Drosophila melanogaster: one gene and its partners. The protein of the gene in region 1 interacts with the protein of each later gene in a pairwise test. Each region holds a gene or a part of one and is shown on either strand. Other genes may lie near its edges.

Region 1 (7,949 bases):
TGTTTGAATGGGTTAATTTGTGTATTTAGCCGAGAGCCAGCTGTTATTGAATATCGACAGTGAAACGCAAAACCCAATTAAATACCTAAGTCGCCGCACAGATTTTGCGGCACGTTCGTCCTTCGTTTTGCACCTTTCGCGATGCGGCAAGAAGGACGCAAAAATGCAGATCACGGCCCAAGGAGTCATCGTTCCGGCCGATCCGAAGTCGAAATCGATATGCACCCGCATTTGTCTGTCAAGAAGCTGCCCTTTTCGGGTCCGCAATCTGGAGTCCATAACTCATCGGGGCAATGTGCAAAAGTGGCTGTATCGCATATCCTGTGGCTGCTTTGTTTGCCGAAGATCCCTTTGTCCACATTCGAAGTCAGCTGCAGTTGCAATCTGCTTTTTCCGCATTCAGCACGATCAAATATTGCCGAAGAAAGATATCGCATCCTGATCAGGTGGCGCGTGTCCTCTGGTGGCCAACTGTGATTTCGTCGGTCGGATCGCATTATGTTCACCTATTTTTTGGGGCGTCAGCTGGTGTGCGTGCCACGTGTATCTGGCGGATACTTTTGCCAAAGGCAGCCGCCTTATCGACTGCATGCTGAATTACCCGCTTTCTCATTAGCATTTCACTGTGGCCTACTTGTCTTGGCTTCTTCGGTTCATCTAAATGCAAATTCTCCCCCACCAAAATTCCCAAAACACCTTCAATTTCGAATCTCAAAGCCAAGAGAATATTGTTAGTTTCCAACTGGCAAGCAAAAATTTCTTTCAAATAAGTTCACTTTTTTAAGTTGACTTTTAATTCTTGAAATGAAAGTGCTTGAATATGGCGATGAATTAAAAGTTCTCATTTTCTTGCCTTCAAACGATATGCACTTTGAATGGAAATGTTCTTGAAGTTAGGGTTAATTTTTGTTCCAAGTGAATGGCCAAAAGCTTTTTAATTAAGCCCTGCCTTCAAGGAGGGGACTACGAATCGGGAATCGAGGAGAAATCACAGAAAACTGTTATTATAATCATCGTCTACGTCTACAATCGGACCAACCAACACCCACCCATCCAATCCTTCTTGTCGCCTACTTTGTCATTATAATTTTTCCTTTCAGCCGGCCAAAGCGATGCCCAAATGAAAGAAATTTTTGCGGGCCAAAAGAAATGCATTTTATTATTATTATTGTTATTTGTTGTGGTGACTTTTTAATCATTCCCTACCAAAACAGAGCGCTCCAACGGATTGCGTTGAGATGGTCGCGGGGGATGGGGCTGTTATTCAAGAAGCACTGGAACCACTGGCCGATTCTTATTGGTGCACCAATACCACTCGGACAGCTCAGACAGATATGGCCATCGGCTACTCCCACACCGATGACACGATGACGACACAGCTGTTGACGACGAATGGGGAAGTCTTGATGGCACACATACACCATCGCAGTCGCCAGCACCACCACCGCAAGATAACCCATACCAATGAAGAAACTCAAACGAAGACGAAGACCACGACAAAGGCCAAATTCGCCGCAAAGACGAACAAAGACGAAGCACGAAACACCCGAAGTGCCTCCCCTTCGCATCCGTGACGTCACACCTCAAGAAACGCTCAAGGAAACGATATTGAGAGAAGGAAGAGCAACATAATTCAAAAATTGAGTGAAAAGAAAGAGAGAAAATCAAACTGCTTAAAATTTTAATTTTCTCTTTTTAAATTTTATGTTTAAAGACGACGAAAGAGAAAAGTTGAAGCAGGCGTAAATCTTAATAATGCGTTTCTTTTCAAATCCGCTGCACGAGCACACGATCGCAATCAGTTGGCCATTTTTTTGAGCGTAAGAAGAGCACAAAGACGCTCTTCGCTCTCTCTTTGCTCAGCCCGTCTCAGACGTTTCAGTTCCAGTTCAAGACCTGTCTTCAGATATTCCGCTCAATGCGTTTCAGTACTACGGCGCGCCTTGTATCTGAAAGTTCGGTCTCGCTCAACGATACGGATACGAAACGATATGGTACACTTGTGGAGTGGATTAACGCTAATTCGTTTTTGATTGCCGCCAGGGGGGATCGCCAATGGACCGATGCGTAAGTAAAGAGCGTAATTAAGCAAGCACGCGGTGGTCACTGTGAGTTCCAGAGTTTCGCATCCATTGTCAGATAAGTCCGATCGTATCCCTTGGGTACCAGAATGCCTTATCTTGCGTCCGTTGTGCGTGTCTTTAAGGGGGGCGTTCTTTGGATCTCAATACAAGAGGCGTTTTATTAAGGTCAGCTAATGGATCAACTGTATGTATCTGTATCGCTTTGTGCGAAGTAAGTGTGTTAACGAATGAGTGCCAGACAGAATGAGGCGCCTGAAGATCCCCAAAGTCGCCGATGACTCAGTGGTTAAGGAAAAAACAAAGAAGAACGGCCAGAGAACCAGAATCAAAATAGAAGAAGCCAGAAGGAAGGAGAGGAGAGGCGCATTCGGAAAAAACAAGCCAAAGATCCCATGGACAGGCAGAAAAACAAAGGCGAAAAAGGGGGAAACGAGATGGGAGACCGAGACCCGCACATGTTCATGTTGACATGTGTTGGTATCTTGGGAAAATCGAGAGAATGTGTGAGAGAGAGAGGGGGGTCTGGTGTGGGGTGGGAAAAGTGGGGGTAACTCTAGGTGGGGTGCATTGAACTTGGCGGCAAAAGGGGAGCGATCACTAGCCCAACAAGAGATCACAGTTCCCAGAATTAAAACCAAGCCAAGCCAAGTACTTGTTGTTACTGTTGTTGTTATTGCAAATTTCCACAGATCTGCGATGTTGTTATTGCGAAAAAGAGAAAAGAAGATGATAGGGGAAGCAAAACAAGAAGAGCAGGCAAAAATAATAAATACAAAGACCCAAAAGTAGCAGCTGCATTTTCAAAATTTCAACATTTCACAAAAACTCAAAAACACACACATACGCAAATACCGTAAGTGAGAGAGGGATACGCAAAGGAGCTGAAAAAGGAAGCGAAGAGCCGGAGGAAAAGGAGACCAGACAAAAGGCAAAGCAGGGATGACGAGAAAAGGTTGCAAGCAAAACAAGTCAGCAGGATCAAGGACACGCAGGCCCTTACACACACACACACACACACGCACACAAAGGAGCAGGCAGAGAAAACCTGAAATCGTTACACAAACGCAAAGCAAAAGAGAGAAATGCAAGCGAACGAGTAGGCCAAAAGAAAAGGCAGATTAAGGACCCGTTCCTTTGTAGTACTTTATTTTTTACAATACATCCATAGGTAGGTAAAACCCATTAGGGTAGTTTCATCATAGGTAATGACGTGCATGTGTGTGTGTGCGTGTGTGAGTGTAGCTAGGGATCGGCAGGACATGCAAAAAATAAAATTGAAAGAACAGAGAGGCGAAGAAAATACTTTGTCACAAGGGAAGAGATTAGTTTTTCAGGTCGATTGAAATTCTGTTGTTAGGGGAGAGAGCAAATCACTTAGTGCACAGTGGTGCAAGGTCTATAGAAATAATTTGATAGATCGTCACTATATTATGAATACAAGTCAAGTTTTAAAATTTGTCGATAAGAGCAAATACGAACTGTAATGCAATATTCAAATGTTTCTGTGAACTTTCTTAGTGATTAGAAAAATACGGATAAAAATATATACTCTCGCAAACAAAAATTCGTATGTATAATAAATAAGTCATATTTTTGATAGTTTTTTTTTTGGCATTCCCTTACAATTTATAATTTGGGACTAGTCAAATAAACAAATTTTCACTGAAAAAAAAAAGGTTGCTAATTCGGTTGTAAATGTACATTTAACTATTAGTTTTATTCATTTGAAACGAAATTACCCTAATACCGAGTTTCTATAAAGAGCAACCATTGAATTCCCGATTCCGATTACTTCCAACATCTAATCGAATCATTCTTCTCTCCATTCACCAGAAGGCAGCTGTTACTCCTCGCTGACGAAGGAAACCGAATACCACCAGCTGGGATATATCCTCGCCAGTCGCAAACAAGAACAACAGGGGCACACGATCGCACCGGAGGATCACAAAGGGCTCGTGCCACATGAAGCAGGGGGTTGTTGATAGCGCCTCCTGAAAGAACTAACGACTCATGCGGTCGTGCGTCGAGACAAAGTGATCCTGCCGCAAGGAGCAGGACGAGCCGCTTATCAGCCATGCACGGGATTCGGGGTGGCTGAGGGTTGCAAACACGCGTTCTTATCTTAAAGCTCAGACTGTCGGGAGGGTGACGAAATAGAGCAGATGTGCAAACAACGGCCCCGATGACGGATGACCGACGAAACCCAGCAATTACAGCTTGAGGGGAGGCGATAGTTACCATCCAACGACGCGTGCTCGGCACACTTGCAGATCCACTGAATAGGAGCAACGTTCGCCTGGGCAATCAGAATCGACCTCAGACTAGGAGCTCCAAAATTCCCAGTATTATAATGTCCGTGGACAACAGCTTGGGAATTCTAGACTTATCTTCGGGTAAGGAGAGTGAGAAAACAGCAATGACAGCAGCAAACAAGGAGAACGATCCGGATTCCCATTTCACGGGTACTATCGTCACAACAGGCGCCACTGCTCAGCCAGCCACGCCCACTACCTCAAATGCCACCGCCCTACCAGCCACGCCTACTGTGGCAGCTGGCCAGGATTTGGGTGACGGTGCATGTAGTAGTAAAAATACGGATTCCAAGTTTCAATCGTACGTAAATGGCAATGGCAATGGTGTGTACAAGATCATCAAGACACTCGGTAAGGGAAACTTTGCCAAGGTCAAGTTGGCGATTCATGTGCCCACCGGTCGTGAAGTGGCCATCAAGGTGATCGATAAGACGCAGCTCAATACGAGTGCACGTCAGAAGCTGTACCGCGAGGTGAAGATCATGAAACTGCTGAACCACCCGAACATCGTGCGCCTCTTCCAAGTCATCGAGTCTGAGAGGACACTCTACCTGGTGATGGAGTACGCGAGTCGTGGCGAGCTATTCGACCACCTGGTGAAGAACGGGAGGATGCGGGAGCGGGATGCCAGGGTGATCTTCCGACAGTTGGTGTCCGCCATTCAGTACTGCCACAGCAAGTTTGTGGTTCATCGGGATCTGAAGGCGGAGAACCTGTTGCTGGACCAGCACATGAACATTAAAATAGCGGACTTTGGCTTCGGCAATACCTTCGATCCCAACGCCCAGCTTGAAACGTTCTGCGGGAGTCCACCATATGCTGCCCCTGAACTTTTCATGGGCAGGAAGTACGCCGGCCCGGAGGTGGACGCCTGGTCGCTGGGAGTGGTGCTGTACACTCTCGTCAGCGGTTCGCTGCCCTTTGATGGAGGCACCCTAAAGGAGTTGCGGGAAAGAGTCCTGCGGGGCAAGTACCGTGTGCCCTACTACATCTCAATGGACTGCGAAAACCTAATGAGAAAGTTCCTGGTCCTGAATCCCGCCAAGCGCACTTCGCTTTCTGCTGTGATGTCGGATAAGTGGATAAATCTGGGCCACGATGAATCCGACCGATTGCGTCCGTTTCGCGAGAAGCCCATGGAGCTGCAGGATGCAGCCCGGTTCGATTTACTGATGAGCATGGGCCACAAGCGCCGTGATGTGGAGCAGTCTGTAAAGGGGCAACTGTTCGACGACATCTATTGCACATACATGCTCCTGGGCGTGGCCAAGCCGCGCTCCTCGAACCGCAGTACGAAACCGGAGGCTATACCAACAGTGGATTTAACTACTCCAGCTGTCAGTAGCCCGCTTCCTAATATCACCACACCCACTGTTACCATAGCTCATGTCACGCTTGCGCTGGACAAGAATCCGCCCATCCACTCCTCCTCAGCATCGGGTAGACCCATTGCGCCACGTTTGGCAAATGCACCCAATACACCGACTTCAACGCCACCAACGGGACCGCCTGCCAAGCCCACAAGACGCACTCCAGCCAGGACACCAGCCCGGAAGGCCACCAACCATACGAGCGGCCAAGGACGTCCGGAGCCTTCGAGTCTTCCGCACACTCCGCAGTCAAAGAGAGCCAGTGCCAACATGGATGTGAAGCCCACGCTGCTGAGTGCCCAGCGACAATTGGCCCAGACCCAAAAGCTGGCCAACACTCCTCCGCGCTTCCAGTACCCCGTTGCCCAAACTCCGAATCAAGCTCAGGGATCCTCCAGGCGGCCCACGACCCTGTACGAGAAAGCGGAACCTGCAGTCACTCCACTTCTGGTGCCCAAGTCGCCGGCCATGGGTGCTCGACTGCTAGAACGGATTCCCGGAGGTGGAGCAGTGGAAAAGACCTCCGACAAGCCCTTCACCCGACAAAATGTGGCACGGGCCACTTTTCATTTCGGCCAAGCGCGCAGTGGCAAACGGGGCGGTGGATCAGGAAATGGCGCAGGCGGAGAGGAGGACAGCTATCAGACGCCACCCTTATCCGCGGACGACACCAAGCCCGCCTCGCGGGTAGGTTTCTTCTCCAAGCTGACCGCACGTTTCGGTCGAAGGGTAATCCACTTGAACGAAAAGGATGTCACCGAGCAGCGCAAGAACCTCACCAAATAGCCAGAAGTCGGGTTGTTTGGGGCAATGTCAAGGTGATAGAGATAGAATGATAGAGTGATAAAGAAAGTGATACAGTCGGCCCTGACCGAGCATTCTAACGAAATTAAGTCAAAACTCAGCAAATCAGTTTGTCTTACAAGTGTGCGGCGAACGCTTTGCTGGGATTTAGATAAATTAATCCTACCAGAAATGACGGCAGCAAACACAAACAAAACGACCGACAAGGAGAACGATCCCGGTCCCAATACATCGATATCCACTACCGCCACGCCCCCTTCTGCAGCTGCCCAGAATGTGGGGGGATGTTTTGGGAGCAGTGGAGGCAGATCGAGCCCTAAGTTTCAGTCCTATGTAAATGGCAACGGCTACGGAGTGTACAAGATCATCAAGACCCTTGGGAAGGGCAACTTTGCGAAAGTCAAGTTGGCGATTCATCTGCCCACCGGTCGGGAAGTGGCCATTAAGCTGATCGATAAAACTGCGCTAAATACGATTGCCCGGCAGAAGTTGTACCGAGAGGTAAATATAATGAAAAAGCTCAACCACCCGAATATTGTGCGCCTCTTGCAAGTTATCGAGTCGGAAAGGACTCTCTACTTGGTAATGGAGTATGTCAGCGGGGGAGAACTCTTCAATTATCTGGTCAAAAACGGAAGGATGCGGGAGCGAGATGCCAGGGTGCTCTTCCGCCAGTTGGTGTCTGCTATTGAATACTGTCACAGCAAGTCCATTGTGCATCGGGATCTAAAGGCAGAGAACTTGTTGTTGGACCAGCAAATGAAATTGAAGATCGCTGATTTTGGTTTCAGCACCACGTTTGAACCAAAAGCGCCACTGGAGACGTTCTGCGGAAGTCCACCGTATGCCGCCCCAGAACTGTTCAGAGGAAAGAAGTACTCTGGACCGGAGGTGGACTCATGGTCACTGGGTGTGGTGCTGTACACCTTGGTGAGTGGTTCCTTACCCTTTGATGGAACCAATCTGAAGGAGCTCCGCGACCGTGTTCTACGTGGCAAGTATCGTGTTCCGTATTACGTCTCCATTGAATGCGAGAGTCTTATTAGGAAGTTCCTCGTTCTGAATCCAACGCAACGTACTAGTTTATCGGCTGTCATGGCGGATCGCTGGATCAACATGGGCTACGAACAAGGTAACGGTTTGAGACCGTTTCAAGAGAAACCTATGGATCTGCATGATGTAAATCGATTGAGTTTGCTGTCGAACATGGGTCACAAACCTCGTGATGTAGAGCAGTCGCTGAAGAACCAGAAGTTCGACGACATCTATTGCACCTATATGCTCCTGGACGTTGCTAAACCGCGCTCAACAGCCTGCAGCGAGAAATCGGGATCTTCGTTTAGGGAAACTCCTACGGCTATGCCAGGCAGCAGTCGGAT
Region 2 (5,847 bases), on another chromosome or scaffold:
TTAACCAGGTCCAAAGAAGGATGCTAAGGCGGCCCGAGAATTCATATTGTACATGTTTACTAGCGTGAATCCTGATCCTTACAAGTGCATCTATCCTCATTTCACCGTTGCTACAAGTAAGTCAACTTTATATTCTGATTTTTGAAAAAAACACATCTTTTTGAATTCCTTGCTTGTGTTTTATTGTGTCTCAACATAAAAACTAAGGACGCTTTACACTCAATAACTAAAAAAGTGTTTTTTGGTTTTGTAGATACTGAAAATATTAAGTTCGTGTTCACTGCTGTCAAGGACACAATTCTGGAATTGCATTTAAGTGAAACTAATTTGCTGTGACCTCGATTTCTACAAAATGTCTATTTAAATCATATTGATGAGTAACAACCTTTGTGTATCATATTTTAAAAATAGGGAAATAAATGTATGTAAAACAGAAAATAACTTTTTAATTATTTATAAGTTTGCTATTATATTATAAACTGATGTATATTAAATGCGCCTTGTTGCTTTTGGACGTTAAAAAACTGTTTTTTATTTCAATCTTATGTTTACATATACAATCCATTAAATATAACTCGGTTTACATACTGTTCTTATTCAGCCTAAACGCACTAACTATGAATCCAGCTGCTTTTAGCCGGGGTTTCAGTACACGTGAACTATCACAATAAAATCATATATATGTCATGCTTTGCATTAACCGTAGAACCTTATATGGGCAAACAAGCGAATTAAACATCACATCATGATCAACAGTTTAAAACAAAACTCTCACACACTTAATAAGCTAAATATAATCTTGGATGGGGGCTCGTATTGAATCGGTTTTGGCACGTTAACATTTACATGACCACAAAGTCGCTAAGGTTGCGTTCAGGTTGGACCATGCTCGGTGGCATCAATTGCACCAGTTTATTGAACAGGAAAGCTCGCTTATTCTTCAGCTCGGGTGTGCAATCCGTCCGCGCCCTTTTGGTGCAGGAGGAGGAGCTCGGACTAGATGCAGTCTCCGAGATGCCAGAAGAGATCATGCTTTCGTTCGACTCCAGGGAGAGGTTCTCGGTAGCGGGTCCATCAGCCAGTTCCTCTGTAAAGATACAAGTTGAATTATCCAATACGAATTCATTATTGACTAATAAAACCTTTGATCTTTGCCGATACATCGGAATCCGTTTCGAGATCGTCTGCATCAGCACACAACGCAGGTGTGTTGCATTCTCTGTCAAGGTTACCATCATGGTTTTTGAAGAGTAAAGACGCAAGCTTGTGGAACTAAAATAATCAACTCAGATATAAGAAAGCTACAAAAATTGAAGTTCTTTTTTTAGACATACATTATTCAACTGCTCCGCATCGCTGTGATCAATGACATCGGCTATATGATGCCGTAAGTATTGCATTGCCTTTAAGGGATCTTGGCGCGTCATCTCCTCATAGCGCAGTTTACGCACCAAAAACCGACAATGCTTCAGGATCTCCTCTCGTTTGGGTCTAAAATATAATAAAATTATCATCGATTACATTCAGCTAGTAAATTACATACTTTTCCAGACATAAAAGCCAAAAATCATCAAGTCTCAGCTGCTGCTGCTGGCAGATTCCAGGATTTCCGCCAAACAAATAATGGGTATTGGTCACATCATCATAGACCAGCTGGTGGGCATAGCGAGGGCACGGCTCTAAGGTTCCATCACCCTTGCTAGCGCCCAAAATATTCATGTTGTTAATTGAGTTGGCATCCTGGCCACTGTGGCGACAGTAATATATCCTCGACCACTTGTGATTGCGCAAGGAATAAACCCAAAAGGAGTTTGATGCATCAATATGCTGTATATCACGACGATCCTTCACCTTACTTAGGCTCTAAAAACGAAGAAGTTAAATACGAACGCCGAAATAATGTCAGAACTACCTACAGAAAAAATATAAATTTCATCACGTTCACAGTCAATGGTGGCACGTAAAGTATAACCGGAGGAAGGTTCGAATTTGGCTTCGTTGCCAGCGATGGTTCCGTGATGCGGGTGCTCCTTGTTGAGAACCGATATGGCCTGGGTGTCTACATCGTAGCTAAGAAACTCATCCAGATCCTCCTTCCCTCGTTGTCCGCCGTATATGTAAAGTTTTCGATGTTTCTATAATAGCGCGTACAAATACATATATCTGTATACATAGCTTATAGAGTATAATTAACCTACGTTATGGAAAACCATGCAGTGTGTGATCCTGGACTTGATGGACATCACATCTGCCAGGGAAGCGCTGGCATGGTGGCAGTCCACCAGAATCTGAGCCCAGGTGTTCGTTGCTATGTGATAGGAGAACAGCCCCGAATATTCTGGTTCTATCGCTCCCGTGGCATTGACACTGCGAGGCGTGAGTATTTTGCCTCCGAAAACGTAAATTGTACGCTTATCGGTATCCATGCACATCTGGTGATCATAGACAAGCTGAGGACCACCCACTTGGCTGGTGTCATCGCATATTTGCATCCAGTTGCCAGCCCTCGTATCGTAAAGGTAAAAGTCGCTCTTTATATAATCCGAAGTTCGTATCGAGTTATCCAGGTAACGACCAAGCATGAATACATTTTCGCTGATGGGATCAAAGACCATTTTGTGACAGGATCGCGGTGTGGGTCCATTGGAAAGCTCTGACCTTTCGCACAGTAGCGTCCACTGATCATCTTCGATATTGAATACCCAAAGGTCGCTCAAGTCCTGGTAGCCATCCCAGCCGCCGTAGAGATAAATAAGTCTCCTTTTGGCATCCACCACCAGCTGGTGACCACCGCGATTGCCTGAAATAGAGGAAGTTAACTGCTAATGATTGCTATTTGGAGGCAAAAATAGTTACCAGGCTTTATGTCGCTTTCGGTATGCTTCATATGCCAGCTGTGCTTGTAGTCCTGCTTATGTAAATACTCATCCATTAGGCCCTCGTCTATGCACTCGACTATAAAGCGTTCAGCCTTCTCAAAGTCGCCCTGCAAAACCTAAGAACCAGTTTTTTTTATGAATTTAATACCAAACTTCAAAGGTTTATAGCATGATCTATGCTGGGGATTCCTTTCTTACCAGACACTTATGCAGTTCGCTGATCAGCGGGTGCTCCAGTTGCACATTCGTTTGCTCCTGGAGCGCCCCAAAGGCACTCAAATAGCCCTGCTGGCGGAAGTGCTTCAGACACAGCTTGATGATCTCCACCTCGCGCAGCGAGTTGTAGTTCTTCATGCGAGCACTGGTGTACATGGGGTCGTCCTGGCCGTGCAGCTCCACGTACCAAATGCTGAAGTTGAACGACGGACCCCAGGAGAGCAGGGGCACGATCTTGAGGTACAGTATTGGTAGATTTTCCGAACCGTCTTCGGTCAGGCAGCGCAGGTTGAATACTTCTGGCACGTTATCGTTTTTTAGGCCACTGGGAAAAATATTTGAGTTATATTAAATAATGCATTTCAGAAAACCAGCTGAATGACCTACCCCTCCAGCAGCAAAACCATGTGCTCATCGTCCAAGCCGCCGTAAACACGGAATTTCTTGATGTTGCACACATGCGATTTCTCGAACTTGCCAAACTTGATTTTCTTCACAATGGCGGGACGGCGCAGCTTCAAGGTGAGAAATTGCGGCGGGCTGTTCGTGTAGGCGGACCACCTAGATGTTTGGTCGTTGGGACAGTCCACCAGGACGTTTCTACGAATGGAAATTAAAAAGATGCCCGTTTAACAATTACGATATGCGAGGCATCCATTTTCTTTTCCAGATTAGTACTTACTCAGGCAGATAGTTTGGCGAGTAGCTGGAGTAACGGTAGATCTCAAAGTTCAGGCGCTCGGAAAGCGAAAAAGGCTTTTGGCTGCTGGTATTCGTGCCGGAGACCGGGTTTAAAGATGGATTAAGGGCCGAGGACAGCGCCACCGATCCGTGCGAGCTGTTGTCCGTGGGACTGGATGTCGAGGAGGAGGACATGGCGAGTTCTATTCCAACGATCCTAGCGGTAAAAGATTAACGGAGCTCGGCTGTAGCTGTTATTACCGTTCTTTCTTGTCCGTACTTTTGTGCTTCCCTGTTCCACACCCAAAACAACCGCGTAACAGCTGATCGCCAGGGGCGTAGCCGTTATCTCATCAGGGGGTCGATTAACCGATTGTCTTACATTACATTGGCAAACGGTTAGCATTTAACAACAATTAGCATTGTGTAAATAACCAATAGAATTAGGCTGTAAAATCAAAACAAGCAATCGACCTTTTCATTTTACGCTTTTTTACTTCCGAGCGATAGTGCATTTTTAACAAAAATTAATTTACGTTAAGCCGATTTTTTGGCTAAAGTGTAGATAAGTGTATCGTGGCGTATCGATTATTTATTTGAAAGCTGTTTGTTCATTCAACCGTGATACCTTTTTATCAAGTGTACAAAGTTATTAAAATGTAGTTAGCGTATGCTTTAAGTTGTTCGGTTGAAGTTATGTTTATTTGTTTCAATGATGGCAAAGTGGCTTGCTGTCTCTTGTGTGTACTTGGGCGTTTTATTATGCCTTCCAAATACCATTGTGCGTAAATAAGCCCGTATAAATACAGATTTCAAAAATATTTTAGTTTTTAGTTCTATTCCAATGGATACTTTTTCAAAATCAGAAAAACTGAGTGCATAGCAAACGGAGCATATTTCAGCAATGTCTCTTGCATTCTGAAGCCTGTAAACTGGACTCGATCGGTATTGAACATGGATGGTGACATAAAGGAGGCATTAACTGATATTAAGGTGAGAAGTTTCATTAATTTAAGTATTACAATAATAATGGAAATTTTCAGATGTCAGTAGAAGTGTTCTACAAGGATTCTTCGAATTTGTACAAGCCCTTCGCCGTTAAATTTAAATTTGATGTTTGCCAATTGTTAAAGAATAAAACGCAAAGTAATTTTCTGCAAAAATACGCTATTAGCCATTTGACGGAGTGGACTAATGTAAACCACAGTTGCCCATATAGGGTAAGCTTATGTATATATAATATAGTTAAATTTTCTCAATATATTGAATATATATATATGTTTCTAAAGGGTCATTTGATTGCGCGTAACTTTCGTTTGGACGAGGTCTCTCTGCCCATACTTCCAATTCAGGATTACAAAATTGCATTTAACTTTTCAGGAGCCAATCCAGGAATTCACTTGGGACTGGTTTTGATCTATTTTGAAATTCTAGAGGATTATTACAAGCAAAAAAAGAATAAGCCACTGCCCAAGCCGTTGAACTTTGTTTAAAATTCATATAGCTGCTAAGGAAATATACACTTTTAAAACACGTTTTAATACAAAGGTTAGCTTCGTGAAAATTCTTTTGACAATTTTTGTCGGGTGTAACCGGCGCCCATCGATATCGTAGATTCAAGAAAATTTTAGAGTACGGTCACTCTGTCAGTGTCGTGGCTTGGTTTTGCACGGATTTTGTATTTTTAGTTTTAAACCCATAATTGATAAGTAAATATGGCCTTTGACGCGATACCCAAGGATCTGCGAGGACTTCGCGCCTGCCTCGTTTGCTCCCTAGTGAAGGTGGGTTATATTTTGCCCAGACTCGACACACATTTTCATTGAAATCATTTATCGCCCGCAGAGTTTTGATCAATTTGAGACTGATGGCTGTGAAAACTGCGAGGAGTTCCTGCGAATGAAAAACAACAAGGACAATGTCTATGATCACACTAGCAACAACTTTGACGGAATTATTGCCCTAACTACGCCCACCGACTCCTGGGTGGCCAAGTGGCAAAGATTGTGTAAGGCCTGAATGACTTCCGTTCCAAAAGGGTATTACTGATATATTTGAAATCATTTTCCTT
Region 3 (3,385 bases), 2.9 Mb from region 1:
TGACGAACTTCCACCAAACCGATGTACTGCCCCTGGTAGCCCTGGTATTGAAATCGCCCAGAGCAGCCATTCCGGGGCAACTGGCCAAGAACCAAGTTAATCAGAGAAGCCAGAAGGAGAACGGTCACCAGCTGATGCGGACTCATTGCAACTACGTATGAGCTGAGCTTTTCCAGTCTATTTTATAGAGATTTTAATTACTCGCATTAAAACTCAAAAGACTCACTCAATGAGCACTGATTGATACCCGATCTAAGTCTCTCAATAGTCAGTGGCTCTCCCCACTTTGTGGGTATTTAAGTATTCAGTTTTTGGAGCTAAATTCTCGAGCGTAAATTGCACTTCCACATGCTAAGCTCCATTAAGCCAAAAAATGCATTAATATTACTTACCTTTTCTTAAAATAACTTTATTAACAGCACAAAGACAATGAATGAACATTTTCTCACAGTAGGTATTTAAAAGATTTAATTTTTGATTTTCTGCTCCTTTATCATAAAACATATTTAATGGATCTCATATTTATTTATTTGTTTCTATAATAATTGGTGCGAAAGGTTCCTAATTATGTGCTGTCTCTGCTATATGTTCGCCAGTGATTATTGAAATAATATCTGATTTTAAATGTATAGATCCCGACTTATTTGGTAAATGTTTCACTCTCAAGATAATCCTCGATTATATCATCTAGCTGTCTTTCTACCTCGACCCGCTCCTCAGTGTATTCCTTAACAGTTTTATCCACACACTGATTACTTTGCCGTTGAATGTCCTCCAACTGGTTGCCCTTAGTCCGCAGATTCAGCAAATTCTGTGGAGCATTCTGGATGCCATCGATAGCTCTTCTGACGTTCCGCCGGCACTTTTTTGGCTTAACGCTGGAACAGCCTTCAGTGACATCGATCAAGTGCTCCGTTGGATTTTGCAGGCCATTTAGGGAACTTTCCAAGTCCAAGTTAAACCGAATCTGATTCCAGATAAACAGACCAACACAACTACGCAATCGAAGGCCGTAACGACTGTTGAAGTTTTCAGTGATGGAAACAGCCTCCGCGGTTCTAAGACCTTTAGTCGACTCCTGAACTTTCGACACCTTTGCGGCAGCCCAGAACTTCCATTCCTCCTGGACATTAAGTTTCGAGACAAGTTGCTCCTCCTCTGCCTTGATGTTCGTTAGGAATTTTAGCAATGGAGATATGCTCAAACCTAGACCAGTTAGAGCTTGCAGAGATTCCTGCAGGCCTTGTCTCCTTTTCTTTTTCCGAGTATTGGGCAAATCGGATAATAATTTTGCCACATAATTGTCAAGAAGATTCCTCAATTGCGTTATCGTTCCTTCGTTCTTGTTTTGCAGGTCGTTAGTTGGACTTAGAACCGAAATACCTTTTTCGTTTAGCCTTTCTGGATCATTGGGCAGAGCTCCACCATCTCCAAATTTATTCCAGATATCAAAAGCAGTTTCTATTGCCAGAACGCTGTCATTCCAGGCAAACTGGACCACCAGGAGGATTAGAAAGCCGCTGCACTTCATCTTTATACCAGGCCTCTAAGAGTCTATATATCGTACTGCAGGCCTTTTATAGCCAATTACATTGGGTACTTAAATGTGCAGCACGCTTCCCAAACATTTGCTCAGCCGATGCCAATCATTTAGCAGTCAATACGTGGGCATATATGTTTACTTTTATGTCATACATGCAATACACATGGCCATTAATTTGTAAGATATTAGCTAAAGAAAGTTAGCGAAAAAGTCAGTTGTGTCTTTTAGCCAGAACAATCAATCGGTTCTACCAATAAAAAAAAAAAGTGGCCGCTGCTAAATCCTAAAATAGATGAACTATTAATGAAGTACATCTCAACAATTAAAGTTATTTTTTTACAAACATTTTATTGTCAGCACGTAGCAACCTATCTGTACTTTTTTTTGCCTTTCAATCATCCATCATTGCCAATAAAATAAGTGAAAGATGGGAGGCGCAAACTCGTTTTGCCGAAAATCACCAGACAGTGAAACATCTAAATATCTTTTGGCATTAAAGTTTTTAATTTGATTGTCCACAAAGCAAATCCGGATGCTCAGCGAATGTTTTCGCTTATCCAGTTGATGTGCTTGGAAAGATCGCAGTACAGTACATACTGATTAAGCTGGCAGGTGCCGGCAGGTCCGCGTTCCCCTGCAGACACAATACCCCGGAGCAGCCATCGATCGCCCTGCTTGACCATCAGTCCACCGCCGGAATCCCCGACACAGGGTCCAGATCCATCGCGATTTCCCGCGCACAGACTTCGCTCCGTCACCATGGTGCCCCTCCAGGTGCTGGCGCAGACCGTCGGACTGGCAATCTCCGCCTCCACCACGCGTGGATACTGGGTCCTGGAGCTGTCCTCATCTCTCCCCCAACCCGCTATAAAGCCAGTGGTGGACACCGTTCTGCTTGCCTCCACCGTCCACATGCAAATGGGTGCAATAATGTCGTTAAACCTGAAAGAAAACATGATAGTCCTTAAAATATGAACTTTATAAGAGAGATTTTTTCGCATGTTATGAGTATTAAATTATCACCTTCTGTGAGAAGCACATATTGTGATAGAGTAAATATAATATTTGAACGGGAATGCCCATCGTAAAATGATTTATAATATACCTTTTGTATCTCTTGAGTGAAAAATTAAATTACTAATAATTATTTAAATACTCACGTCACTGGCCGTTCAATGGTGATCAAAGCGATATCGGCATCCGAATACGACCGGGTATTGTAATCCGGATGCCAAAGCAATCGCATTACATTGCGCATCTCGGCCCCATCCTCTCCGTAGTCATCCAGATCATAGCGCCCGAGTCCGACGACCACGCGGTCCTCCGTCATCCGATGCACACAGTGGGCGGCACTAATTACAATGCTGGACGAGATCAGGGATCCTCTGCACTTAAAGGCCAGAGCTCGAACCTCCTTGTGATAGACGGCCGATAGCCAGGGGTACTGTCCTCGAGGGAATTCGTTTCCACGCACAATAAACGGAGTTGTGCTGCCCTCTCGACCGCAAACTACTGATGATATTTGGGATCGCGGATCAAAGCGTTGAGGTGGTGGAGTAGCTGGCGGAACGGTTACAACTGCTGGTGGAGTTGGAAGTGGTGGTGGTGGTGGTGGTGCTGGTGCTGGGCTGCTCGTAATAGTTGGTACAGGTGGCGCAAAAGTGATTGGAACACTGGGTACTGGTTGATTCCAGAAAATCTCAGTTGGAGTGGGTGCTGGAGTTACCACTGCTGGGCTTCTGTTGGACACAGTCGTCCAGGGCTGTGTAAAACCACGCCAGATATCATTGCCACGGGATGAGGTAGGATAGAATACTGTCTGCACATTCACATCTAAGCCAT

What was found. Proteins that work in one complex are often made in the same cells at the same time.
Region 2: the proteins of KP78b (region 1) and muskelin interact in a two-hybrid assay, tested with the Drosophila melanogaster proteins (one large-scale study listed by BioGRID).
Region 3: the proteins of KP78b (region 1) and CG33109 interact in a two-hybrid assay, tested with the Drosophila melanogaster proteins (one large-scale study listed by BioGRID).

What each region holds. Positions count from the first base shown.
Region 1 is NT_033777.3:11,347,131-11,355,079, reverse strand, and holds the start of KP78b (KP78b), read left to right. Parts: upstream 1-1,948; 5' UTR 1,949-2,067; intron 2,068-3,917; 5' UTR 3,918-4,434; coding exon of another isoform or gene 4,435-6,552; 5' UTR 6,553-6,741; coding exon 6,742-7,949. Other genes in the region: KP78a, read left to right, coding at 4,435-6,552.
Region 2 is NT_033778.4:12,628,186-12,634,032, forward strand, and holds muskelin (muskelin), read right to left. Parts: upstream 4,097-5,847; 5' UTR 3,972-4,096; coding exon 3,778-3,971; intron 3,696-3,777; coding exon 3,483-3,695; intron 3,421-3,482; coding exon 3,078-3,420; intron 2,996-3,077; coding exon 2,857-2,995; intron 2,801-2,856; coding exon 2,199-2,800; intron 2,136-2,198; coding exon 1,917-2,135; intron 1,864-1,916; coding exon 1,544-1,863; intron 1,492-1,543; coding exon 1,335-1,491; intron 1,273-1,334; coding exon 1,143-1,272; intron 1,088-1,142; coding exon 843-1,087; 3' UTR 512-842; downstream 1-511. Other genes in the region: CG17760 (uncharacterized protein), read left to right, coding at 9-116, 254-336; CG33792 (uncharacterized protein), read left to right, coding at 4,489-4,557, 4,611-4,769, 4,820-5,269; spt4, read left to right, coding at 5,492-5,560, 5,622-5,784.
Region 3 is NT_033777.3:14,220,049-14,223,433, forward strand, and holds CG33109 (uncharacterized protein), read right to left. Parts: upstream 1,537-3,385; 5' UTR 1,532-1,536; coding exon 641-1,531; 3' UTR 512-640; downstream 1-511. Other genes in the region: CG31326 (uncharacterized protein), read right to left, coding at 1-146; Sp212 (Serine-peptidase 212), read right to left, coding at 2,080-2,485, 2,704-3,385.